7 linked regions of the Tribolium castaneum genome follow. The protein of the gene in region 5 binds, or shares a complex with, the protein of the main gene of each other region. Links are inferred from orthologs where the notes say so. Each region holds a gene or a part of one and is shown on either strand. Other genes may lie near its edges.

Evidence for each region.
Region 1: eIF3j (region 5) and eIF3d1 share a complex: the UniProt entries of both Drosophila melanogaster proteins name them as parts of the eukaryotic translation initiation factor 3 (eIF-3) complex. The link is inferred for Tribolium castaneum from reciprocal best matches to the Drosophila melanogaster genes eIF3j and eIF3d1.
Region 2: eIF3j (region 5) and eIF3c share a complex: the UniProt entries of both Drosophila melanogaster proteins name them as parts of the eukaryotic translation initiation factor 3 (eIF-3) complex. The link is inferred for Tribolium castaneum from reciprocal best matches to the Drosophila melanogaster genes eIF3j and eIF3c.
Region 3: eIF3j (region 5) and eIF3b share a complex: the UniProt entries of both Drosophila melanogaster proteins name them as parts of the eukaryotic translation initiation factor 3 (eIF-3) complex. The link is inferred for Tribolium castaneum from reciprocal best matches to the Drosophila melanogaster genes eIF3j and eIF3b.
Region 4: eIF3j (region 5) and eIF3h share a complex: the UniProt entries of both Drosophila melanogaster proteins name them as parts of the eukaryotic translation initiation factor 3 (eIF-3) complex. The link is inferred for Tribolium castaneum from reciprocal best matches to the Drosophila melanogaster genes eIF3j and eIF3h.
Region 6: eIF3j (region 5) and eIF3m share a complex: the UniProt entries of both Drosophila melanogaster proteins name them as parts of the eukaryotic translation initiation factor 3 (eIF-3) complex. The link is inferred for Tribolium castaneum from reciprocal best matches to the Drosophila melanogaster genes eIF3j and eIF3m.
Region 7: eIF3j (region 5) and eIF3i share a complex: the UniProt entries of both Drosophila melanogaster proteins name them as parts of the eukaryotic translation initiation factor 3 (eIF-3) complex. The link is inferred for Tribolium castaneum from reciprocal best matches to the Drosophila melanogaster genes eIF3j and eIF3i.

Annotation. Positions count from the first base shown.
Region 1 is NC_087399.1:4,807,827-4,811,879, forward strand, and holds eIF3d1 (eukaryotic initiation factor 3 p66 subunit), read left to right. Parts: upstream 1-1,443; 5' UTR 1,444-1,510; coding exon 1,511-1,712; intron 1,713-1,774; coding exon 1,775-2,037; intron 2,038-2,083; coding exon 2,084-2,195; intron 2,196-2,240; coding exon 2,241-2,350; intron 2,351-2,404; coding exon 2,405-2,543; intron 2,544-2,590; coding exon 2,591-2,883; intron 2,884-2,926; coding exon 2,927-3,496; 3' UTR 3,497-3,553; downstream 3,554-4,053. Other genes in the region: Sans (ankyrin repeat and SAM domain-containing protein 4B), read left to right, coding at 1-209, 259-637. UniProt on the Drosophila melanogaster protein: mRNA cap-binding component of the eukaryotic translation initiation factor 3 (eIF-3) complex, which is involved in protein synthesis of a specialized repertoire of mRNAs and, together with other initiation factors, stimulates binding of mRNA and methionyl-tRNAi to the 40S ribosome.
Region 2 is NC_087401.1:16,331,015-16,334,284, reverse strand, and holds the end of eIF3c (eukaryotic translation initiation factor 3 subunit C), read left to right. Parts: intron 1-890; coding exon 891-2,579; intron 2,580-2,627; coding exon 2,628-2,714; 3' UTR 2,715-2,770; downstream 2,771-3,270. UniProt on the Drosophila melanogaster protein: Component of the eukaryotic translation initiation factor 3 (eIF-3) complex, which is involved in protein synthesis of a specialized repertoire of mRNAs and, together with other initiation factors, stimulates binding of mRNA and methionyl-tRNAi to the 40S ribosome.
Region 3 is NC_087399.1:10,622,590-10,626,729, forward strand, and holds the start of eIF3b (eukaryotic translation initiation factor 3 subunit B), read left to right. Parts: upstream 1-1,340; 5' UTR 1,341-1,387; coding exon 1,388-1,523; intron 1,524-1,735; coding exon 1,736-2,238; intron 2,239-2,297; coding exon 2,298-2,530; intron 2,531-4,140. UniProt on the Drosophila melanogaster protein: RNA-binding component of the eukaryotic translation initiation factor 3 (eIF-3) complex, which is involved in protein synthesis of a specialized repertoire of mRNAs and, together with other initiation factors, stimulates binding of mRNA and methionyl-tRNAi to the 40S ribosome.
Region 4 is NC_087398.1:6,460,957-6,463,906, forward strand, and holds eIF3h (eukaryotic translation initiation factor 3 subunit H), read right to left. Parts: upstream 1,807-2,950; 5' UTR 1,657-1,806; coding exon 1,579-1,656; intron 1,483-1,578; coding exon 544-1,482; 3' UTR 501-543; downstream 1-500. Other genes in the region: SelT (thioredoxin reductase-like selenoprotein T homolog CG3887), read left to right, coding at 1,950-2,104, 2,151-2,280, 2,327-2,650. UniProt on the Drosophila melanogaster protein: Component of the eukaryotic translation initiation factor 3 (eIF-3) complex, which is involved in protein synthesis of a specialized repertoire of mRNAs and, together with other initiation factors, stimulates binding of mRNA and methionyl-tRNAi to the 40S ribosome.
Region 5 is NC_087396.1:21,287,100-21,290,295, reverse strand, and holds eIF3j (eukaryotic translation initiation factor 3 subunit J), read left to right. Parts: upstream 1-1,197; 5' UTR 1,198-1,512; coding exon 1,513-1,525; intron 1,526-1,585; coding exon 1,586-1,671; intron 1,672-1,716; coding exon 1,717-1,824; intron 1,825-1,870; coding exon 1,871-2,168; intron 2,169-2,220; coding exon 2,221-2,357; intron 2,358-2,401; coding exon 2,402-2,452; 3' UTR 2,453-2,696; downstream 2,697-3,196. Other genes in the region: Srp54 (probable splicing factor, arginine/serine-rich 7), read right to left, coding at 1-937. UniProt on the Drosophila melanogaster protein: Component of the eukaryotic translation initiation factor 3 (eIF-3) complex, which is involved in protein synthesis of a specialized repertoire of mRNAs and, together with other initiation factors, stimulates binding of mRNA and methionyl-tRNAi to the 40S ribosome.
Region 6 is NC_087400.1:753,795-757,025, reverse strand, and holds eIF3m (eukaryotic translation initiation factor 3 subunit M), read left to right. Parts: upstream 1-1,301; 5' UTR 1,302-1,431; coding exon 1,432-1,476; intron 1,477-1,533; coding exon 1,534-1,713; intron 1,714-1,758; coding exon 1,759-2,688; 3' UTR 2,689-2,731; downstream 2,732-3,231. Other genes in the region: Sec15 (exocyst complex component 6), read left to right, coding at 1-115, 166-357, 401-638, 683-824, 872-1,058, 1,104-1,230; CysRS (cysteine--tRNA ligase, cytoplasmic), read left to right, coding at 3,064-3,231. UniProt on the Drosophila melanogaster protein: Component of the eukaryotic translation initiation factor 3 (eIF-3) complex, which is involved in protein synthesis of a specialized repertoire of mRNAs and, together with other initiation factors, stimulates binding of mRNA and methionyl-tRNAi to the 40S ribosome.
Region 7 is NC_087394.1:748,471-751,741, reverse strand, and holds eIF3i (eukaryotic translation initiation factor 3 subunit I), read left to right. Parts: upstream 1-1,134; 5' UTR 1,135-1,259; coding exon 1,260-1,262; intron 1,263-1,378; coding exon 1,379-1,572; intron 1,573-1,950; coding exon 1,951-2,734; 3' UTR 2,735-2,771; downstream 2,772-3,271. UniProt on the Drosophila melanogaster protein: Component of the eukaryotic translation initiation factor 3 (eIF-3) complex, which is involved in protein synthesis of a specialized repertoire of mRNAs and, together with other initiation factors, stimulates binding of mRNA and methionyl-tRNAi to the 40S ribosome.

The sequences.
Region 1 (4,053 bases), on a different chromosome or scaffold from region 5:
GATGGCAGGAGAGGCCGTCTGGAATCGGTCTTCAACGAAGCTGAGTACATAGAGTCGTCTCCGCCGCCACCACCGTCCAGCAACGGCCTCACAAGGTCCATCTCCCAGCCTGACTTCATGCACGAATTGGAAACAAACGGCGACACTAAACTCCAACAAGAACCAGCGAGTATTTTCGTGCGCCCAGGAATTGGAAGCATAGCGTTCCGGTAACAAATAATCAATATGCGAAAGCACAAAAACACGTTTTTTATTTAGAAAGAGCATAACCAACACATTCCAAGGCTTCTACTCCAGCGAAGGCCCCAACGAGGAGAGTTCAATCGGGTCAGGGGAAAGCTACGGCCCCAGAACCAACACTCTATCAATCGAAGACGAGTTATCAGACCCCGAGTCCAGCGACGACGATAACCCGAACGCTCCCCTGGAACGCTTCTTGACCGCCTGGGGGCTAGGAGAGTACCTTCCCCGCTTCGAGGAGCAGAAAATCGACCTGGAAACGCTGATGATACTGACAGAAAACGATCTCCAAAGCCTGAACTTGCCCCTAGGGCCGTACAGGAAACTTGTGACCGCTGTCAGCGAACGCAAAGCCGCGCTGGAGAATCCGGGCGAAGTCACAGACAGCATGTTGTAAATATGGAGTCAAAATGTGTTATTTATTCATTGTCGTGGACATGATAACGGTATTGCTTGTATTTTATGGGCACTTTTTGTACAGATGTGTGCCAGGCATAATATTTACAAATTCGTATTTAAATTTATTATAAATAAATGTGTGTTATGCAAATGCGAGCTTATTAAACCCACTCCTTATCAGTGTTCTCTTTGCTGAGAGAAATCTGATGTCATCGTCAATACGCAATAATAGGGGACGTAAAATATACTACGAAAAAGTGAAGTTACGTGTAGAAGAATTTGAATTCAATACAAATTTTTGCGCTGTTGCGTTCTTTGTGATGGCAATGAGTTTTTATGCAAAATAAAGTTAGTGAGACACCAAAATAGAAAAAAATAATGCCTTATTGCCATTAGAGCTTATTTTCTTGCTGTTTTTCCAAGTTAAATATTAGTTATTAACAATGCAATAAATCAATTAGGTTGTAATGGAAAAAATTTAATTTAAAATTAATTGGAAACCCAAGAGTGAAGGATTTTTAACAGGATTCCATTATTATTTAGCATCGCCAACTTACATCAAATGTCGCTGCGGATCAGGGTGACAATTTTTTTCTGAAAAAAAGTGTAGAAAAGGTAAGTGAAACAACACGTAAACAAAAATTAGAGAATTAAATTGAAAAAAAAGTGGATGAAAATGTTTTCTCAAGCGCAGCGACATTTGATGTAAGTTGGCCATGTTATTTTGATTTCAAAAGCGCCGAATTTCAAAAACTGTCGATTGTCAGAATCTGCGCGCGCACATTTCTTTTTGCCAAGTGTTGTGCACAACTCGCGGTTTCTGCTTCAACATATTGAATTGAACACTTCCTAACTTCTGAAAGCAAGTCAAATGACTATGACTGATGGTCAATCAGCGGGTGAGGTCCCCAAATTCGTGGCCCCCGTAATCCAGGACAACCCGACTGGATGGGGGCCCTGCGAGCTGCCCGACCAGTTCAAAGATATGCCGTACCAGCCCTTCAGCAAAGGCGACCGTCTCGGCAAAATCAGCGACTGGACGGGGGCCGCCTTCCAAGACAAGAAATATGCCAGTTAGTCTGACATTGACACATGTCAAATTTGAGGTTAAGTGACTTATTTTTCGCAATTTTAGACAAGTATGCGTCCCAGTTCGGTTCTGGCAGTCAATACGCGTATTATCATGACGAAGACGAGAGCACTTTTCATTTGGTGGACACAACACGCGTCCAGAAGCCCCCCTATCAACGGGGGCGCTTCCGCGCGAACCAGCGCAACTTGCGCGGGCGTGGCGGCCGTGCTGGGGTGCAAGGCAGCGGCATGCAGTCCCTCGGGAAGGGGGTTAAAGCCAGGGACACGTATAAGAGGAGCCAGGTTAAGAAATGGGGACAAGGACGGGTAAGATCTCGCTTGAGTTTTACCGCAATATAGTTGGCGGTTTTAGCCCCAGATTAAGATCAGGGACGCTTCGGTTACGGTCAAACCGGATTGGGTCACCATTGAGGAAATGGATTTCCCTCGGTTGGGAAAATTGTCGCTCCCTAACGTCAAAGACGGTTGGTTTAATTAAGCAATGCGAATTTTTCTATTTTGGTTTTTAGGCGAGGATATTACTTGTTGTGGCGAGTTGGAGTACTATGACAAGTCGTACGATCGTGTCAACGTGAAGAATGAGAAGCCGCTGCAAAGCGTCAATCGTATCTTCCATACAGTGGGTTATTTTTAATATCATTGATGGCAAAAAATTAAAATTAATTATCCTCAGGTTACAACAACTGATGATCCGATTATCCGTAAGTTGAGTAAAACGGAGGGCAATGTGTACGCCACTGATGCGATCCTTGCGACCATCATGTGCTGCACTCGCTCGAATTATTCCTGGGACATCGTGATTGAAAAAATTGGTACTGTGCCCTTACAAGTGTAACAAATCTCAAACAAAATTTTTCAGGCGATAAACTCTTCTTTGATAAGCGTGACAATACGGAGTTTGATCTTTTAACCGTCAACGAAACGTCCGTGGAGCCCCCACAAGACGACGGCAACTCCTTAAACTCCCCTCGAAACCTGGCCTTGGAAGCCACTTTCATTAACCACAATTTCAGTCAACAGGTATTAAGAACAGGTACCGGGGAGCCCCGCTTCAAGTTCGACAACCCAAACCCTTTTATCTCCGAGGAGGAGGAAGGGGAGGTCGCCAGTGTGGCCTACAGATACCGCAAATATGACCTAGGGAGCGGAATAGTAATTTTTTCGTTTTGTTTCTGTCCACGTTTAATTTGTGTAGTTTTTGGTTGTCCGTTGCGAACACGATGCCGTGGTCCAGTCCCCGAATGGCGAGCTCCAATTCCTGTCAATCAAGGCCTTGAACGAATGGGATTCCAAATTGGCCAATGGGGTGGAGTGGCGCCAGAAACTGGACACCCAGAGAGGCGCCGTTTTGGCCAATGAGCTGCGTAATAACGCCTGCAAGCTGGCCAAATGGACCGTTCAGGCGTTGCTGGCTGGCAGCGACCAAATTAAATTCGGTTATGTTTCCCGGGCCCATGTCAGGGATAACAGCAAGCATGTTATTCTGGGTACACAGCAGTATAAGCCGCACGAGTTTGCCACTCAGATTAATCTGAATATGGATAATGCGTGGGGGATTCTGCGGTGTATTATTGACATTGTTATGAAACAGAAGGATGGGAAGTATTTGATTATGAAAGATCCGAATAAGCCGATGATCCGGTTGTACGATATTCCGGATAATACGTTCGAATCGGACGGGGAGTCGGAGTCGGAGGATGAGGTGCCCCCTGATTCCGTGACTTTCCAGACCCTTTATCCATACACCAACAGTGCGAAACGCTAGATTTTGTATTTTTATCATGTATTAGCGAAAGGCCGAAATAAAATGATCAATAAATAATAATTTGCAGTTAATTCTCGTGCATAGTATTAACCAACAAGTGAAAAAAAAATAAAACGGACTCTTGTCGTGTAGCAGCAGCAAGGTGCATTTGCTCACGCATTTTTTAATTTTTTTCAACAAAGAAAGTAAAGCTGTCGTATTCACAACAAAAGAAAAATAAAGGTAAGTGCATTATTCTATTTTGTTGCGGATTTACTTTATTAGGTTTAGAATTTACTTATTCAAGATTATCAGCACATTTTTATGACGTAAGATGTCATATTATCGTATGATTCATTCTTTTTTTGTTAATACGTTCCAACATTCAATAACTAAATCAAATTAACAGTTTTATTTTTACTCGAACCCACACAATTTGAGATGTTGAAAAGTTATAATCGTTTGAGTGCAACATTTTACAACAGATTAACTACTTTATAAAATTTTCAAACTAATTTGATGACATTTGAGTTTATGATGTCGTAAAGTGTATTTTTTCAATTGCTCATCTCCAAGTG
Region 2 (3,270 bases), on a different chromosome or scaffold from region 5:
TTTGGTTTTCTTGTTAGAGTCTGTCAAAAATAACCATTCTTGAAAAATTCAAATAAAACACCAAGTTAAAAATTCCGCTGTCTTGATTGGATAACACAGAACAATGAACTTCTTTTTTATAAAACAGCTTCAGAAGACCTTCCTCTATAACATATTAAATATTTGGAAAGATATTATTTTTGGTTTTCTTGTGAGAGTCTGCCAAAAATAACCATTCTTGAAAAATTCAAATAAAACACCAAATTAAAAATTCCGCTGTCTTGATTGGATAACATCGAGCAATGAACTTTTTTATTATAAAACAGCTTCAGAAGACCTTCTTCTATAACATATTAAAAATTTGGAAAGATATTATTTTCGGTTTTCTTGTGAGAGTCTGCCAAAAATAACCATTCTTGAAAAATTCAAATAAAACATAAAGTTAAAAATCCCACTGTCTTGATTGGATAACACAGAGCAGTGAGCTTCAATTTTATAAAACAGCTTCAGAAGACCTTCTTTTATAACATATTAAAAATTTGAAAAGATATTGTTTTTGGTTTTCTTGTTAGAGTCTGCCAAAAATAACCATTCTTGAAAAATTCAAATAAAACACAAAGTTAAAATTTCCGCTGTCTTGATTGGATAACATACAGCAAATGAACTTCTTTATTATAAAACAGCTTCAGAAGATATTTTTCTATAACATATTAAAAATTTGGAAAGATATTATGTTTGGTTTTCTTGTTAGAGTCTGTCAAAAATAATCATTCTTGAAAAATTAAAATAAAACACAAAGTTAAAAATTCCGCTGTCTTGATTGGATAACATAGAGCAATGAACTTCTTTTTTATAAAACAGCTTCAGAAGACCTTATTCTATAACATAATCATGCAAATAACTCATTTCAGGAGAAGCCGAAAATGTTCGCCAAAGACGCGGAAATCGACCTAAACCTCGTAATAAAAAAACTCTCCGAAATAATGGCAGCCCGTGGCAAAAAACGCACCGACCGTCGCGAACAAATCGAACTCCTCCACGAACTACAAAACGTCTCCGACCAACACCAACTCGGCCCCGCCATCTACGTCAAAATCAAATTCGCCATAATTTCTGCAATTTTCGACTACAACCCGAAAGTCTCCGACGCAATGAAACCCGAATACTGGATGAAACTACTCGAGCGCATGTCCGAAATGCTCGACCTTCTCCTCAGCAACCCCCAACTCTTCGTCTCGGAATCCGTGACCGAAGAAACGGAAAACCTGGAAGAACCCCCTTACAAAATCCGCGGCTGTGTCCTAACTTCCGTCGAGCGCCTCGACGACGAATTCACAAAGCTACTAAAAGAGTGCGACCCGCACAGCAACGAATACGTCGAGCGCTTGAAAGACGAGGCCAAAGTCTCGGAAATCATCGACAAGACGATGAAATACCTCGAGCGGACGAACGCCCCGTCCGAACTTTGCCGCATTTATTTGCGCAAAATCGAGCATCTGTATTACAAGTTCGACCCGCGGGTTTTACAGCAAAAAGCCGGGGAAATCCCCAGGGATTTGTACACTTCGGTGCAAGAAATGGAAAAGTTGTGCAAATTCATTTACGCGAAAGATGGCACCGATCGGTTGCGCACACGTGCGATTCTCTCCCATATCTACCACCACGCCCTGCACGATAACTGGTTCCAAGCGCGTGACTTGGTCCTCATGTCCCACCTCCAGGAGACCATCCACCATTCGGACCCCAGCACCCAGATTCTCTACAACCGTACCATGGCCCATCTGGGTTTGTGTGCCTTCCGGCACGCGAATATCAAAGACGCGCATAACTGTCTCGTGGATTTGATGATGACCGGGAAGCCCAAGGAGTTGCTAGCCCAGGGGTTGCTCCCCCAGAGACAGCATGAGCGGAGCAAAGAGCAGGAGAAAATCGAAAAGCAGCGCCAGATGCCCTTCCATATGCACATCAACTTGGAGCTTTTGGAGTGCGTTTATTTGGTCTCGGCGATGCTGATTGAGATTCCCTACATGGCGGCGCACGAGTTCGACGCCCGCCGGCGCATGATCTCGAAGACTTTTTACCAGCAGCTGCGGAGCTCGGAGAGGCAGAGCCTGGTGGGCCCCCCGGAGAGCATGCGCGAGCACGTGGTGGCGGCGGCCAAGGCCATGCGCAACGGGAACTGGTCGGCGTGCAACGGCTTCATTATCAACGAGAAGATGAACGCGAAAGTTTGGGATTTGTTTTATCAGGCGGACGCGGTCAGGGCGATGCTGACGCGGTTGATTAAGGAGGAGTCCTTGCGGACGTACCTCTTCACTTATTCGCACGTTTACGACTCGATTTCCATGGCAACGCTCGCGCAAATGTTCGAGTTGGATAAGCCGGTGGTTCACTCGATTATTTCCAAAATGATTATCAATGAGGAGCTGATGGCGTCGCTCGATGACCCGACTCAGACGGTTGTCATGCATCGAAGTGAGCCGTCGCGTTTGCAATCACTGGCGTTGCAGTTGGCGGATAAGATTAATAATTTCGTTGATTCGAATGAGAGGATTTTGGAGACGAAGCAAGGGAATTTCTTTTCAAGGGGGATGAATCAAGTGAGTTGGTGTGTTGGGGTTTGGTGAGTTTTGAGTTTGGTTTTTTAGGGAAATTTCAGAGGAGATAGGCAGAATTATAGGGGGACCAATCAGGATTGGAGTCGGCAAAGGAGAGATCACAGGAAAGAGTATTAAGAGTGACAGTCAGGTTGGGTCTTTTTTATTTGAAACCAATAAAAAACATACGAGTATTTTTGTGCCCTAACTTACCTTTTCTATGGAGATCTCCTCAATTTAATTTCAAGAATTTTACTAAAATTTATACAAAATTGTCTTCATCAATTTGCAAATCCGGGATTAGGTGAGACGGTTGAAGCGTTTTTGAACTAAAATTGTTTCTTTGTGAATTATTTGTTAAATTTGCAGCAAGTTTCAAACGTATTTTTCAAGAAATTTTAGTAAAATTAGCTGCAAAATAAATCAAAATAGATGTTTTTTTTTTACTTTAAAACTTTTTTTTACGATATTTATATATTTGGAACAAGCTTCTTTATACGCTTTCTAAACCCGACCGAAAAATCACTAAGTGAAGTCTAAAATGGCGTTATTTTTGCGTTTTTAGCCCAAAATAAAAAAATTATTTTTGGAAGTTTTTGAAGCTCAAAGCGTCTGAAAAAGCTACAAATTAAATTCCATTTCTTGTTCTTTCACTTGGTATTTTCCTTTTTGGGTTAAAGACTTTCATTATGCA
Region 3 (4,140 bases), on a different chromosome or scaffold from region 5:
TCGCCGTTGTTTCAATTAAAGAAAAACAAAAATAAAAACTGTTATTTATAACTTGATCTTGTGTGACGTTTTTACAATTAATAAAATCAAAATTAGAATAATATTTTTGGTCACTAATACAGAGTGTAACCGTGACACTCTTGTCTAGTTCTTGTTGACAGAGTTCTTGCCGTGCTGTATTTGGAGCTGCGAATAATTCCTGATAATTTTTTTGTGAAACATTTGTCCATAAAACTCTTATTTTGAGAGTGTTCTAGACTTATTCAATAAGTATTAAGTCAGAAGATTGTTCTGGTCACAGTAAAACCAAAATTTTGTTACTTTGGTACAAATTTCTTAACCACTTAAAGTGTGCGATTGGCAATATCTTGCATAAAAGTCAAACCATCACTGTAATTTTTAATGTAAGGCAAGACAAGAGATTAAAAAATAAGATTCTTGTACCGAATTGCGGTTGAAAATAGGTTGACTTTATACCGAAAACCGAACAAATTTTAATAAAATACTGTGCGTAGTTTACGTGTCACTTAAATTTTTTAAATGGAAAATATTATATTATACCGACTACTTTAATTTTTTATTGTGCAAAAATTAATTAAATACTGATTATTTATTATTTTTTGTTGATCAAAATTACATTTATTACTGATCGCTTTGTTACTACCCAATTTAAGTGTATGTATTATATAGGTATTGCTGGTTACAACTTTATTGGCGAAAAGTTATGTTAATAAATATCATATTTAATTATTTTTCACTATCCTTAGATAAACTTCGGGTAAACAAATTATTCGTGGTATACTTAATTAGTACCAAATTACACAGTTACAATTGTTTCAACAATGTATTTTTGAAAATTTATTCCCGTAATAAATTTATTCTTCTTGGACTATTGTAAAAGCGGCCCTAACTAATGTAAAAATAATAATTTACACGAAATCAAGAAAAAAGAACACTGAATTAATCATCAATTAACTGCACCAAATTTTTGAATGAATCAAAACTCTGAAGTGATTGGTTTTGCACATTATTTTAATGGCCGACCTCAAATGGACCAATTACACCAATGAATTAAATTTTTGAATGAATCAAAAAATCGAAAATGATTGGTTTTCTGACATAATTATGATGGCCGTCCTGAAACGGCCAATGACAAGGCTTACAACTTCTACAATTTTTACAACACTTCTTACGTTAATTCATTAATCATTTATTAACCCAATTAGCAACATACAAATGAGTTTTAAGGACACAGCAGTCAAGTCCATACTTGGAAAGGGCCCAAAAGTGGTTTTTCTCCATTAAATTCATTTCTGGCGCCTTACAAAACTGTGACATTTTATTCCCGCGCGTCCTTCTTTACCGGTCGACCCTCACGCGTGTCAAAATGGCGAAAAAGAAAGTGGACGACAAAAACAGCCTTAACGGGAATAATACGAAGAACGAGAGCGATTTATCGTCCAACGATGATGAACCAAACTTCAGCGATCCCGAGGGATACGTCGACAACATCACCGATGAAGGTATTTCCCCAAAAACGCTCATTCAAAATGCGGGCATAACCATGCTGTCACTTCATTTTCAACCCTCATTTTTCGTAAAACTGTCCACTCAAACAATTAATTTTTGTTGGATTTGGCAAACCGTAGCCACGTTTTAGCATTTTCGCATCAAATATCTCGCCTGGATTGCAACATATGCGGTCGCGAAAGTGAGGTTAGGTTTGTCGTTTCAGAGCTCCTGGCCGATATTTTGAAGCAGAAGCCGAAGGAGACTGACGGTGTTGAGAGCGTGATTGTGGTCGACGGTGTCCCGCAAGTGGGCCCCGACCGTATCGAGAAATTGAAATCCGTCATTAATAAGATTTTCGTCAAGTTCGGATCCATAGTCAATGAGTACTATCCAGTGACCGAAAACGGTCACACCAAAGGCTACATTTTCCTGGAATACTCCTCTCCAGTCAACGCAGCTGAAGCCGTGAAGCTCACCAATAATTTCAAGCTTGATAAGCAGCACACTTTCCAAGTCAATCTCTTCACTGACTTTACCAAATATGAGGCGATTCCGGAGGAGTGGGACCCCCCGAAGCCGCAGCCCTACGAGGGCCAGGGGGACGTCCACCACTATTTGCTCGAGCCTGATGCTTACGACCAATTTGCCGTGGTTTTGGGACAGGGACAGTCGGTTCAAATTTGGCAAAATACGCAGCCTGATCCTTCCTTACTTGAGGAGAGACATGTAATTTTTTTAATCGTTTTGGGTTGGTTTTTTATGATTATGATTTTTTTTTGGGATAGGCTTGGACACATGCTTATATCAAGTGGTCTCCGTTAGGTACGTATTTAGCCACTTTCCATAAGCAAGGTATCGCGTTATGGGTGGGTCAGAAGTTTAGCCAATACAAAAGGTATGCCCATGCCAATGCACAATTTATTGATTTTTCGCCGTGCGAGAAGTATTTGGTGACGTACTCGCCTCAGGGAGATCCGCAGCATCCGCAACAGAAAGGGATCATTATTTGGGATATAAGGTAATTTTTATCACATTTATTATCTTAATTTGTCGTTAAACATTTGGTATTTTGAATAAACTTTCTTTGTATTTTTTGTATGACATGACCAAATCATAAAAAAAATAATGTAAGTTACATACTCTGTCCGGCAAAGTATAAAACCAAACGTTTTTTTCTAATATTTCTACTTTACGAAAAAATAGTTAGCACATTATCAAGTCTATTAACAATGTGGTCATTTTTGAATTTTTTTTTACTTTTCGAGTTTTTGATTATTTTGGTTAAAGGTTATGCTTTAAAAAATTACTTGATTCAATGTGGTATTGTTTCTGATTGGGTGTTTTTTTTTTGCGAAATTGGCCAGAAAATAAAATTTCAGCGTACTTGCTTATACTAGTATTATTTTTTCGTAAGGTAAATAGTTTACGGAAAAACGCCCTGTATTTTGTTTAGTGATTATTTTGAAATACTTGACATTCTTCTACGTGATTTACCGCACTTGTGTGTTATTTTTACGTTTAACGAGTCTAGTGCGATAACTTTCTGTTAGTGTAATTTATGTTACGGTTGTGTATGAAGGAGCGTTTCATAAATTTTAAACTTCGAATATTTGCTGCTCGTTGAATATTTACATAAAGATCTACGTAAAATATTGCTCATCTTCCTGTTATAGTTTACGGTGTTTTTTAGTGTATTCTTTATAATTGAAACGTCAGAAAATCATGCAAATTGGAAATAATTTAATTATGGTTGATACTTTGACTCTATAAAAACTTATATTAAATGAACTAAATTTTTAATAATGCATTTTAGAAAAAGGAAAAAAATTATAATTTGTCCTCTGAAATTAATTAAATTTACAAAACTAGTTTGGAAGAGAAAGTAGGAGTGAATTAATTTTAGTTCAGATTGTTACCATATGTAAAGATCAGTGTAAATATTAAATAATAAATAAATGCCTTCAAAAGTTGTTAAAATGCTACCATAAAATACTGTGCGATTGTATAAAAATATAAAACGAAAAAAATTCGGGAAAGCATTTTAAAAATGATTAGACACATTCTGTATCATAATTTCCGACTGTCTATGTGTTGTAAAGAATCGCAGAATAAAATGTATCCATTTCTATGGCATATATTAGAAAAAAGCCAACACTTCAATAATTCAGTAAAAAAATTAGATTCACTGATACCAGAGCTGATACCATAAAACTGTCAATACCTTGATACTACGATATTTTCAATACCTCGATTCTTCCGGTACCTCAATACCAACGATACTTAGGTTAGTATTGATACCTTCAGGGTTTTTTTTTTCCAATAAATACTGAAACTTTTAGCATGCAATTGAACGAAACGCAATTCTAAGAGTGATTTTCCAAACCAGTGTATCTTTGTGGGGATGCCCCCAATCTTAATTTTTTTTTATATATTTGGATTACTGAAATGATTTCTACAATGCTTTGAACTGAGAATTCGCCAATTTTGAGACACCTGTAGAGGAAAAGTGTTAATGAATTGTCAGTTTAGTTTTTTTTTTTGCATAAAACCTATTTTTAACTTTGAATTTATTTGTTTCTCTAGATGATAATATGAACTCACACAATTGTCGGTATTATTTATTTATTT
Region 4 (2,950 bases), on a different chromosome or scaffold from region 5:
CAACATTTTTATACTCATGACACGATTTTTCTTATTGATTGAACTGCTAATAGCGTAATACGAAACGATTTATTGTGATTGATTATCTAGTCTTGTTTTGTTGTTGTTTTTCGTGTGTTGTTTGTTATTGGTTTGTATGAGTTTGAGAAAGTTGCACAAAAAAGTGTGTACATTTTGGCCAGTTTGTGCAATAGAAATGTAAATAAATAAAATTCATTTCTTTAGGTTCGTAAGACTGTAATGACTAAATTGATGTTTAGGGCAATTGAATACATTATTTTTTAAAAGCTGTGTCCTTTATTTCAATCAAAAAACAACAAAATCAACATAAACGATGAAAAGGTTGCGAATATGACTTTCTCCACTGTTGGTTTAGTACCATTTTTTAAGGGGATGATTAAACGTTCAAACGTAGAAATTTCACAGAAGAGACGCCACCACAAAACCTACTGACTGCGCCAATTAAGCTTTATTACGCCTGGTTTAAATAAAACCCAAACTCATTGTATATTATTTTATTGTAAAACAACGTAACAAAACAGTTCAAGGATTAGAATTCGCCTCCTTGGCGTTCTGCAACGCTTGCGTAATATACAACTTAGCCAAACTCTGCGAGCACAACTGGGAAATGGCCTGACTATACGTATTAATCTGTCCCGCGATAATCATCGGGTTCAGCCTCGGGGGCACCGGATGTGGCCTAAACAGCTTATTAATGTCCTCTTCGGGCAATGGGGGCTCGTCTTTCGCGGCCCTAGCCGCATTTTCCTGCGCCCTCTTTTGCAAATATCTGTGTTTGTCTTGCTGTTGCCGGCTGACCAACTGTTGGTATCTATTAAACTTGATCGCTTCTTGGTTGAGTTCGTCAACTCGGTCCATGAGGCAGCGCAATTGCCCCTCGAGGACGGAGGCGGTTCCCAAATCTAAAAATTTCGAGCCTTCTTCTTCCGGGACAAGTTCTTGCAATTCGGACATCATGATGTTGGTCAAGGCGGAGTTTTTAATAACGAAGGGGACCTCGATGAAGAGGTTCTCGTATCCGACTTTGAGCTTCAAGAGGGCCTCGGGCGTGAATTCGCCCTCCTTGTACATCTCAATGGCTTGAGGCGTCAAACGGTAGGCTTTAAGTGTGAGGAACCCGCGCGAGGATTTTTGAGTGTCGTAAATCACAACGACGGATTCCTCGATTGAGGTTTGGTAGTGGAATTGCGATTCGAGAAGAGGGAGGCTGAGGAAGTTCCCGACGTCGGCGCTTTGGTACCACCCCACATGGAAGTGGTCGACGTTGACGCGTCGCAGGCGCCGCATCATCGCTAGCTGGTACTCGTCCTCGTCCATTGTCTCGTCGGTTTGTTTCGGGAATGGGAAACAATTCGTGATTTCCAGCCGGTTTTCAACGACAAGGCCGAGAAGGGCCCCCTGGGCTATGTCCATGTTAGTGGTCGATTCCTCATGGCAGTGTTTTACGATCTTCATGACGGCCTGAAAGAGGTTAGGTTCCGTATGTTAGGTATTAATTACTAACTGAGGTAGCCAAAGTGTGACTTTTGGGTTTAAATAAACTGAAGGGATATTTACCAAGCCGTCGGCTTGCACGTAAGCAATCGTCGAGTCATTTTCAGGCACACGCCTCGAAGCAGCCCCACGAGACGCCATTTTAAACTGCCAAAAATACCTGCCAATGTAGCGCAAACAAAAACTCCACAATTGCTACAAAAACACAATTTTCGTAAAAATTGCCAGCCGATAATGGCCTTATTTAACGATTACGTTGTTTGTTACCAAATTTTGTAGCAGCTAACACAATCTCGTGTTTTTTGGACGTGAAATAATTATTATATTAGTGTTTTAGGCTGATCTAGTCGGTGTCTAAATTCCCCTACGTTTCCACCAGTCCCACCTGTCATTGGAAATTTATCAGCTGACGAGAGCATTAGAAAGCAAAATAAATGGCTGGTTTAAGACAAATATCATGTTTTTGGTATTTAGTGGTGTTTGCGGGGCTGTGTTTTCTCGAATCAAACGGTAACGTAGCAGCTGAAGACGTCCTCCCGTCGAAGCTAAGTCAAAATGTTGGGGCCCCAACCTTAAAATTTTTGTATTGGTATGTTCCCCTAGCCCCAATATCATAATCTAATTATTTAATTTAGTTATTCGTGTGGTTACCGGAAAACGTTCGAGCAGTACGTAAAAATCGTTGGGGACAAATACCCTTTTATAGCCGTTGATGGCCAAAATTACGACCCCCCAGGCTTGAACATGTATTTGGCCAGACTTATTGTAAGTATGATATAATGAGTGAAAGTTGATGATTATGCGTTTTCAGGGCATCGTTAAAATGGTGATAATCGTGTGTATTTTGGGGGCTATTAACATATTTGAATACATTAACCAACCACAGCCTTCATGGTGGATTTGGTGCACAGAAAACAAGCTTTATGCTTGCATGATGCTGTTCTTTGTGTGTAATATTATCGAAGGACAGTTGATTCAATCGGGGGCTTTTGAAATCTCACTGAATGACGTTCCTGTTTGGTCCAAACTGGAGACGGGCAGGATACCACAACCTGCAGAGCTTTTCCAAATCATCGATAATCATATGCAGTTCACTGACAGCAAAATTGAACTGAGCAACGGATTCCCGAAGTAAAGTTACTATAAATTTCGAAAATGATTGTTTTGTTATCAGATTGTTCTTTTTTAAATTTGTTGTGAGTCTGGTAGTGTCATTCTATAATTTTTTGTCTGGTCACTATCACACAGCGTTCAGTATGTTTGAATGTATGATTTATAAATAACTAGATTTGTGATAAGTAAAAGTTGTACATAAAGAAATTGTCTTCTTATTTGATACCTAATAAAACCCAAAAACTCATCGTTTTTATGATTTATTCATTTGTTACATTACAAAATCATTTGGCAGTGTTTAATAGAAAGGCACATAAAATAT
Region 5 (3,196 bases):
GTGAACCACGCGAGAGTGACCTTGAGCGTGAGCGGCGTCTACGCCCTCTAGATCTTGAGCGGGAACGTCGCGAGCTCCTTTTATCTTTAGTTAGCATTCCGATAACTGGCTCAATCGAGGCATTGATCATGTTTTGAGCCTCTTTAAAGCGAGACATTGCTTCTTCAATTTCCTTCTGAGCGGCTTCGTTACTTTTGGCTTGGGGCTTCATGATTGGTTGAGTGGCGTGAATGATTTCCAGCGGCTTGCCTTTGAACTCTTCACCGTTCATTTTCATGGCGTTCACGACGCTTGGCTGTTCCGTGAATTCGATCAAAATGTGCGTGGTGTTGTCGTTGGGGCACTCACACACTCTCAAATACTTCACTTCACCGGCTTGTGAAAAATACTGGATTATCTCATCTGTGGGTATGGCGGGGTCAATATTGACCACTTGGACCGTTCGACGAGTCTCCTCGACTTTGATCGAGTCGTATTTGGCCGGCAAAGGGGGATAGGGGGCGCAGCCATTGTCAGTCAAATGGGGGTCATTTGTGACAACAACGCGTTCCTCGCCTGTGCCTTGGAACGAATTGGAGACATGTGGGGGCAACTTTGGCTCGTTTACGTTAAACCCGGGGACAATGGTCCCGTTACGGGTCATCTCCAGAGCGTAGTACTCGTCGGGGATGTCCCCGTTGATCACAGGGATGACAATTAGGGCCCGGTCGATGAAAACAGTGTTTGTCATGTGTTGGGCTACACCTACCGTGCTGGAATCCACGAATTTAACGTAACAAATCCGGGACTGGACAGGACAGGAGACGTCTCGAATCGTGGGGTACAGGCGAATGTCTTCGATTTTACCCAAGTAGCCGAACAGCGTCTGCATCTGGTCCTTGGTGGCCTGGGGGGCTATGTTGGTCACCTGGACCACCTTAGTGTTACCCACGACCATTTTCACGCACTATTTTAACATTTTCCAACGAGTTTAAAAAACGTAAAACGACGCACATTGACAAGTCAAATGACAGCAAGTGTCGCCAACTATTGTTCAATGATGAAAAACGCGGTGAAAAAGCAATTTATGGCCAATCGTCCTAATTAAAACTTTTTATGACTGTCCCAAAAGGATAATTTCAAATTATTTAAAATCTTTGGCGTTAAATAGCCTGTAAAACTTGCACTTTGGTTGTAATTTGGTGCCTTAATTGTGTGCCGGTTGGCAGGCGTAGTTGGTTTCTGTCAAGGGTGAGATGGGTGTTCGAGGGCTATTTTCGCTCGTGAATTGTTCAACTTCGCCTGATTTCGCTGACTTTTCATCTTGCAAGAGACATAAAAAGCCGAAACGTATTGTTTGATACATCTACAAATCGGTGTACTTGTGGAAGCTTCGAGAAAAGATAGTGTTTGGTTTGGTGACACTTTGACAGTGTCATCTGGCGGTTTCTGGTGCAGTTGCACGTTATTCAGCACACGTGAATTTCGAGGTTGAGGTCGTTTTGTGCTAATTTCGGCCGTATTTTCGCCAATATGGAATCGTGGGGTAAAAATTTAGTCAATTCTTTCACTACTTGAGCGAAAATTTGACATGGGGCTGTTTCAGACGACGATAACTTCGAACCTCCATCTGTTACACCTGTGGTTGCGTCCAACAAATGGGAAGGCGAGGACGAAGACGACAACGTCAAGGTAAAATGAGTGAATTCCTGCCAAAAATTTACCATTTTCCTGCAGGAAAGCTGGGAGGATGAGGAGGAGGAGAAGGTGGAAGCGGCGCCTGCCGAGGAGGCCAAACCCAAGCCCAAGAAGCAGTCAATCGCTGACAAAATCGCAGAGAAAGAAGTGGGTATCGCAATAGTTGTGACAAATCTAATTTCTCCTTATTCAGAGAAAGAGGAAGGAAGAAATGGAGCGGAGGCTGAGGGAGCAACAGGAGGAGGAAATCTCCCCGGAGGAGAAGCTCAGGATGCAGAAGGAATCGGACTTGAAAATAGCGCTAGAAACGACGTTTGGGGGCGACACCAATAGCACAAACATTTCAGGTTTAGACGGACTCACGCTGCCAACTACTAAAGAAGAGTTTCAGGACTTTACAGACGCTCTCTCTAAGAAGCTCCAACCTCTAGCTAAAAGCACAGAGTATCCGGTGTTCACCGAAAACTTACTACGAAATCTGTGTGCCACTTGTACGTCTCTCGTTTTAATTTAAAACAGCGTTAATGATGAATGTTCTTGCAGTGTCCTCATTAGATATTAAGAAAATTAAAAATACGTTAGATAATTTATACCTAGAGAAACAAAAAATCGAGAAAGGCGAGAAATCGAAGAAAAACAAAGGCAAAGGCAAGGCTAAATTACGACTGGATGATGGAAATGTAAGTTGTGGTTTTACAAGTGTTTGGGTTAATTTTTTTTGCAGCCTTTGTCAGCGTATGTTAACGACTATGACGATTACGACGACTTTATGTAGCAGATTGCAGCGGTTTAGATAGGGTTTTAATTTTTAAATAAATATCTTCGATAAATATAAATATTGTTAAATTATACGGTATTTTTAAAAAGGTGTAGTGTAATGATCATGCAATATGGTTAATAATTTTTACTTTTTTTTCACCGTTTTGTGTTTTTCTATACTAATGTAACGAGTCATTATTAATTAATGAGTTGCTGGTTTTTGTTGCTACTGATATAGAAGTTGTATTTTAAGGCGATTATTGTATGGATTTGCATACAAGTTGTATTCAATGGATTTGATGCAATTATTGTTAATATCAATATAATTTTTCAAAAAAATGATTGCGTTTTATTTAAAAAAGAATCAAGTGTCTTAGACACAGAGTTGCCACACGCACGCAATTTAAATCCCGTCTACGCCGTTCTGACGTGTAATTATTACACATTTATGCTGAAATTTATTATAGAACAAGTGGACCCCGCTTCTATAAACTTTTTGAGACCATAATCTATTTTAATGTTGAATATTTAAGTACCGTTGTTGGTATTCCTGTCCGAGTTTCATCACAATATTTGTTGTAAAAATGGCAAAATTGGTGCTTACCTCCACGATGACACTATGTAAACACTGATTCATTAGACTTTTCCCGATTTTAAACACTTTTTAAAACTAAACACAAACACCATGTTAACTTTTTTGTCATAAAAAGCAAGCGTCTTTAGACTCAGGGCTGCCACCATGCCACACACACTTGATTAG
Region 6 (3,231 bases), on a different chromosome or scaffold from region 5:
ACGATGTGGTTTTCCCGCACAAGTTCCCCTTTTCGGGGATGGTGCCCAAGGTCTACCAACAAGTCAAGGAGTTTATTTACGCGTGTTTGAAATTCTCCGAGGATTTGAATTTAAGGTTTGGTTGTTGAATAATTCCAATCGAAGTGGGCTGTGACTGAATTGTAGTCAAGTGGAAGTCGACGAAATGATCCGCAAGTCGATGAATTTGCTCCTGACGCGGACGTTTAGCGGTTGTTTGTCGTCAACGTTTCGTAGCCCGCACATCAATCTTCAGGAAATTATCCAAATAATCATCGATACGGGCTATTTGGAGGAAGCCACGGTCTACTTGGACCAGTTTATTTCAAATATTACAGGGTAGGGCACAAAATTAATCCGCCAATAAAAACAAAACATTTAGGGAGGAGTCTCGAGGGGTGTCCACGGGAGTGGTCCAAGGCCAACCAGCCATGTTCCGCGTGGCTCGTGAAGACGCCGTGCGCCAAATTTGCGAAAAATTGCGCCAAAAATTGAACGAGTTTTACGAATTGGAGAGTTATGATTGGCTGTTGGGTGAGCCGTCAGGACACGCCTCTAGTTACATCTCCGATTTGATTGCTTTCCTCCAGACGACGTTTCAGAGTTTCACCAATTTACCGGTTTGTTGATTGGTTTTGTTGATTTTTTATCGAGTGATTTGTAGCCGGAGGTGGCGCAAGTTGCGTGTAAGTCGGCGTGTGAACACATTGCCAATTCGATGTTTCAACTGTTGATGAATGACGAGATCAAGCAAATTTCCATGGGGGCCTTAAACCAAATCAATTTAGATTTACTACAGTGTGAACGTAATTAATCGAAAAATGATAACCGGAAATTTAAACAAGTTTTACAGAATTTGCGGCCTCTGAGCCCGTCAAAGGCCTACAAGAGGACGTCCTCTTGTCGTATTTTACCAAACTACGGGAGACTTTAGACCTGTTCACGTCATGGGACTGGCCCACTTATTTCCACGACTATGGGCAAGAAACCAGCAAATATAAGCAAGTCAATCCAGATGATGCGATAGTATTGCTCGAAAAGTAACAAATCGGGTTATTAAACCACAAGTTAATTGATTCTTGTAGATTGAAAGAAGGCGATAAGAAAACTATGTTCACAGTATTGAAAAAGAACGAAAGAGACAAGAAGAAGTTACTGGAAACGGTCCTAAAACAACTGAGACAGCTGACCCAAATAACGCCCAACAAATAACCGACTTGTTGAATTAAATAATAAATTTTATTAATTATTCGGTGTTTTAATTTTTGTGGCCAACTTGGCCACCAAATTTAAAAAAGTAACAACTTGGCGTTTGCGCATGCGCATTGCCAACATAACCATCAAATTTGCGGTGTGGTTTTTCCCCTTAAAACAGTTAAAAATTGCAAAAAACCGTGAACTAACTGTAGAAAAATGCAAGTGCCCCCTGTCTTTATCGACGTGAGTCCCGAGGACCAGGTAGGCGCCCATTTGTGGCATTTTGTGTCCATATGACACTTTGAGGTTATGTTTTAGGCGCAAGAGCTCCGCATTTACTTAAAAAGTTTAGGCGCTGAAATTTCGGAGGAAAAATCAGTCAAGGGCATCGAAGACGACCTACACAAAATAATCGGCGTATGCGAGGCCTGTTTCAAGGAGGGCCAGGAGCCCGAAGTTGAGATGGTGCTCAACGACATTGTCTCAATCATGGTGCTTGTAAGTGTCTCGAATCATTTGCGCGTGGTATTGGACGTGTTTTAGATCCCGGCCGACCGGTCCGAGAACATCATCCTGGCCTTTTGCCAGAAGCTGCTCAAGGCTCAGGGCCCCAAACTGGGGCTGGTGTGCCTGCGCGCCTTGTGGCTGCTGTTCCAGTCGCTTGACGAGACGTCCCCCATGCGCTACCACGTCTACTACCACTTGATTTTAATTGCGGAGAAAACGGACCAGGTCAAGTCGGTGTTCCAGGATATCGAGCATTTGAAGCAACAGTTCGCCCCGTGTCCACCGACAAGCGAGCAGTTGCAGATTCTGTACCGGTTGTTGCACCAGGTGCTGCTAAAGAGCAACCACAGTGAGCAGGCTGCCAAGGTCATGATCGAACTTTTGGGGACCTACACCGATAAGAACGCCTCGCATGCCCGCGAGGACGCGATCAAGTGCATCGTCTCGGCCCTGGGGGACCCCAACACCTTCCTCCTCGACCCCTTACTGGCCCTAAAGCCGGTCAAATTTCTCGAAGGGGAGCTAATCCACGACTTGCTTAATATCTTTGTCAGCGAAAATTTGGCAACGTATTTGAAATTCTACCAAGAACACAAGGAGTTTGTCACGTCGCAGGGGTTGAACCACGAGAAGAACATGCAAAAGATGCGGTTGTTGTCCTTCATGCAACTCGCTGAGACCAACCCGGAGATCAGTTTTGACGTGATTGAGAGAGAGTTGCAGATCAAGGCTGAGGAGGTCGAGGCGTTTATTATCGAAGTCTTGAAGACTAAACTGGTGAGGGCCCGCATGGACCAAGCCGCTCGGAAAGTCTACGTCTCAAGCACCATGCATAGGACTTTTGGGCGCGCCCAGTGGCAACAATTGAGGGATTTGCTCCACTCGTGGAAAAGCAACCTCAGCATGGTCCAGGAAGGGATGAAGAACGTCACAGCGGCACAGCTCGAAATGTTGAACCAACAATAATTGTTTTGTAGCGATTAATTTAAGAATAAAAATTTTGGAACTAGTTGGGGATTTTTATTTTAATACCACGTCAAGTAACTAACTAAATTTGCTGCTTAAACTACGAAAATTACATTATTGCGCCCCATAATTTAATGTGGGGGTTTCACCCGCCACGTGTCGCACGTTCCTTGCCCCCAATCGGGGTCAAGAGCCGCCGGTGCCGTTTCATGTTGGCAGCACTGTGTGGTGTTGTGGCCGCTGATTCCGATTTTGTGGGAATTCCGTGCCTTCTTCTGATGCAATCACAGTTTAATTTCCGCTAGATAACACCGAAGAGTGCGTTTTGGTGTTGGTGTGTTAAATAATTGCAAATTTGGTGGTTGGAGTTAGGTTATGTCGAAACGTGTGCAGCCCCCGTGGTCGGCGCCGGAGGCGTCTGGCGGTCCGGTCCTGAAAGTGTTCAATAGTCTGACGCGTCAGAAGGAGGTGTTTAGGCCGATTTCGGGCAAAAAAGTGACTTGGTACAGTTGCGGGCCGACTGTTTACGACGCCTCGCACATG
Region 7 (3,271 bases), on a different chromosome or scaffold from region 5:
TTGTTTTTTATTACACCCTGTACATATTTCGAAAAAAAGTGTTTATCCCCATTTTGTTTCTTTAGTTTACAGTTGCTGAAATCAGTAGGACGCGTTCTTGCAAAAATTAACAAAGTCGCTACACGGGTAGGAGATTGAAAAAATAAAGTTTGAAAAGTCAAGGAGTTTTCAAAAAAGAAAAAAAGAAAAAAAATTCAATAAGATTACAAGGAATATTTGTCCCCACTTCATTTTTTTACAAGCCAAGGCCCTACTGGAGCGCTTTATTACTAGCAAAAATATTTATTATTTACACGGTAAAAGCGTTGCGAAAATTAAGTTCTAAAATTCAAAATAATTTTGAAAATAAAAAGAAAAAATCTGTTAGGTTTTAAAGAGTGTTTACCTCCACTTGATTGTTTTACAGTCGAACACTATCCAAGAGCTTTATTTCCTGCAATAATAAACAAAATTGCAGTACGGAAAGCCGGTTGAAAAAAATGAAGTTTAAAAAGTAAAACATTTGCAAAAAAACAAAAGAAAAACATTCAGTAAGCAGAATGTTTGTCATCAATTAATTTTTTTACAGTCGAAAGTCTCATGGCTAGGCTATATATTCCTTGCAGAATTGAACAAAATCAATAAATGGGAAGGGGGTTAAAAAATAATGTTTGAAAAATTAAAATATTTTCCAAAAAAAAAAGAAAAAAAAATAGGTAAGGCCCCAGGGAATATTTATCCACACTTAATTTTTTTTACAATCAAATTCCCATCATCAGGCTTTGCTTCCTACAAAAATTAAAACACGAAAAGGGAGTTGAAAAAATAAAGTTTAAAAAGTTGAGATAAAAAAAAGATTGTAAGGTCCCAAGGTCTTAAATTAATGGCTCTACTTAATTTTTTTACTGCCAAAAGCCCTTTATTTCATACAAAAATAAACAAAATCGCTACAATGAAATATTATTTTAAAAGATTAAGTTTGTAAAGATAATAATTAAAAAAAAAAATCAGTAAAGGCCCAAAGAGTTTTTAATCAATAATCACAGTTAATTTTATTACATATTTTTCCCAACTGCTAAAAATTGCCAAAATGGCAATAACGCCATTTATCAGTTAATTTTGACAATACGGTTATTTCACCTGAGCCGGCACTGACTTAACCCCGCCACTGCACAACCCACCATGACAGTTAATTTTGACACCTCTTCTGTCAAACAACCGTCAAAAAAAGCGTGTTTAATCATTAAAATCCTTAAAAAAACGCCCAGTTTTTTAACAAAATGGTAAGTAACGACTCACAATCAATCGAAAAAAACGCCCCACAACCGTAAAACATTACATTACCCCACAATTTCACCCACATATTGTTCGCTTAAATTTAACCTCAAAACCCCCACAGAAACCCCTTCTACTCCACGGCCACGAACGTGCCATCACCCAAATCAAGTACAACCGTGAGGGCGACCTCCTCTTCTCCTCCTCAAAGGACAACAAACCCAACGTTTGGTACTCCCTTAATGGCGAGAGGTTGGGAACCTTCAACGGCCACCAGGGGGCTGTCTGGTGCATCGACGTCGACTGGACCACCACTAGGTTAATAATAATAATAAATTTATTGCTGCAATAAAGCAAATGGGTGCGCGATAAGGTTGCCTCAGTAGCGAATATACAGGGTGCCTCACCTAATACTTTTGAGCCTGATATCTCAGTTATTTGTCAACGTATTTTTATGAAAATTAAAATGCAGATATTTAGGAAAGTAAAGATTAAAATCCAATTAATGCAAAAACTGAAGTCTTAAAATCGTAATTTTAAAATTAAAATTAATAAAACAGATATTAATCTCGAAAGTTTTAGGTGAGACACCCTGTACAAGTTTTGATTAATTTGCTTTTACTGATTTAATCAAATACTACTTAGACCAGAAATATCACCTATTTTGCTACTTTTTAAACTATTTAAACTTTATAGGTTCCTGTCAGGTGCCGGTGACAACACCCTTAAAGTATGGGACTGTGAAACGGGCAAAGAAATCGGGAACATCTCAACCAATTCATCAGTCCGAACGTGTCTGTTTAGCTACTCGGGCAACATGGCAGTGTACACCACCGACAAAGCCCTCAAACACAACTGCGAGATCTTCATTATTGACGTCCGTAACGTGGACGAAAGCATCTCGCACGCCGACCCCATTTTACGCATCCCGATTAAAGGTTCCCGTGTTTCGTCAATCCTATGGGATAACCTGGACGAAACTATAATAACCGGGCACGAAAACGGGGATTTGATCAAGTGGGACTTGAAGTCAGGCAAAGAGATCAGTTCAACACGTGAACACGAACATTTAATCAACGATATGCAGTGGAATAAAGACGGGACAATGTTTGTGACAGCGTCCAAAGACCACACAGCTAAACTGTTCGACGCTGCTGATTTGATGTTACTGAAGACTTACAAGACAGAACGGCCGGTTAATTCAGCTGCCATTAGCCCCATTTTTGAGCATGTGGTTGTGGGCGGAGGGCAAGATGCCATGGATGTGACAACCACGTCGGCAAGGGTTGGGAAATTTGACTCGAGGTTTTTCCATATGGTGTTTGAAGAAGAGTTTGGGAGGGTTAAAGGGCATTTTGGGCCGATTAATAGTGTGGCGTTTCATCCAGATGGCAAGAGTTATAGTTCAGGAGGTGAAGATGGTTATGTGAGAGTGCATAATTTCGATTCGTCATATTTTGAGTATAATTTCGATTATTAAATGGATAGCTGGTATTAATAAATTTTTTAATAAAACAGTTTGGTTGTTTTTGTTCCTAGATTACGTCCAAGTCTAAGTTTTCGGAGCAATGATTTTAAATAATGATTATACAGGTGCTCCATAACTTTTTTTCTATGCAAGCTATCAAGTTGAATTTTTTTGAAACGCTAGGTTTACTATTGTAAGACTTATTAGGCACGTTCTAAAAATATTTTAATCTGTATACAGAGTATTCCAAAATAAAATACCTAACTATGTTCTGTTTTTTTTTAACAAAAACCCGGATTTTATGGATTTATCTGTCATAGCTTTTTGACTTTTTGACAGAAAATACACAAATAAAGCCCTTGTTAATGTGTTTTTCGTTCGTTTGAAACTGAAATTTAATTACGAAAATAATTTTGGTAAATTTTATTCCGGCGCTTCCAACTTGTGAAATGTAACTAAAACATTCGAAAAAGCAAAAATAATGAAATTTTCAGCTCCGTATTACTGCATTTAGTTACGTTTTGTGTTTTTTGAGACTGAAAAATTACT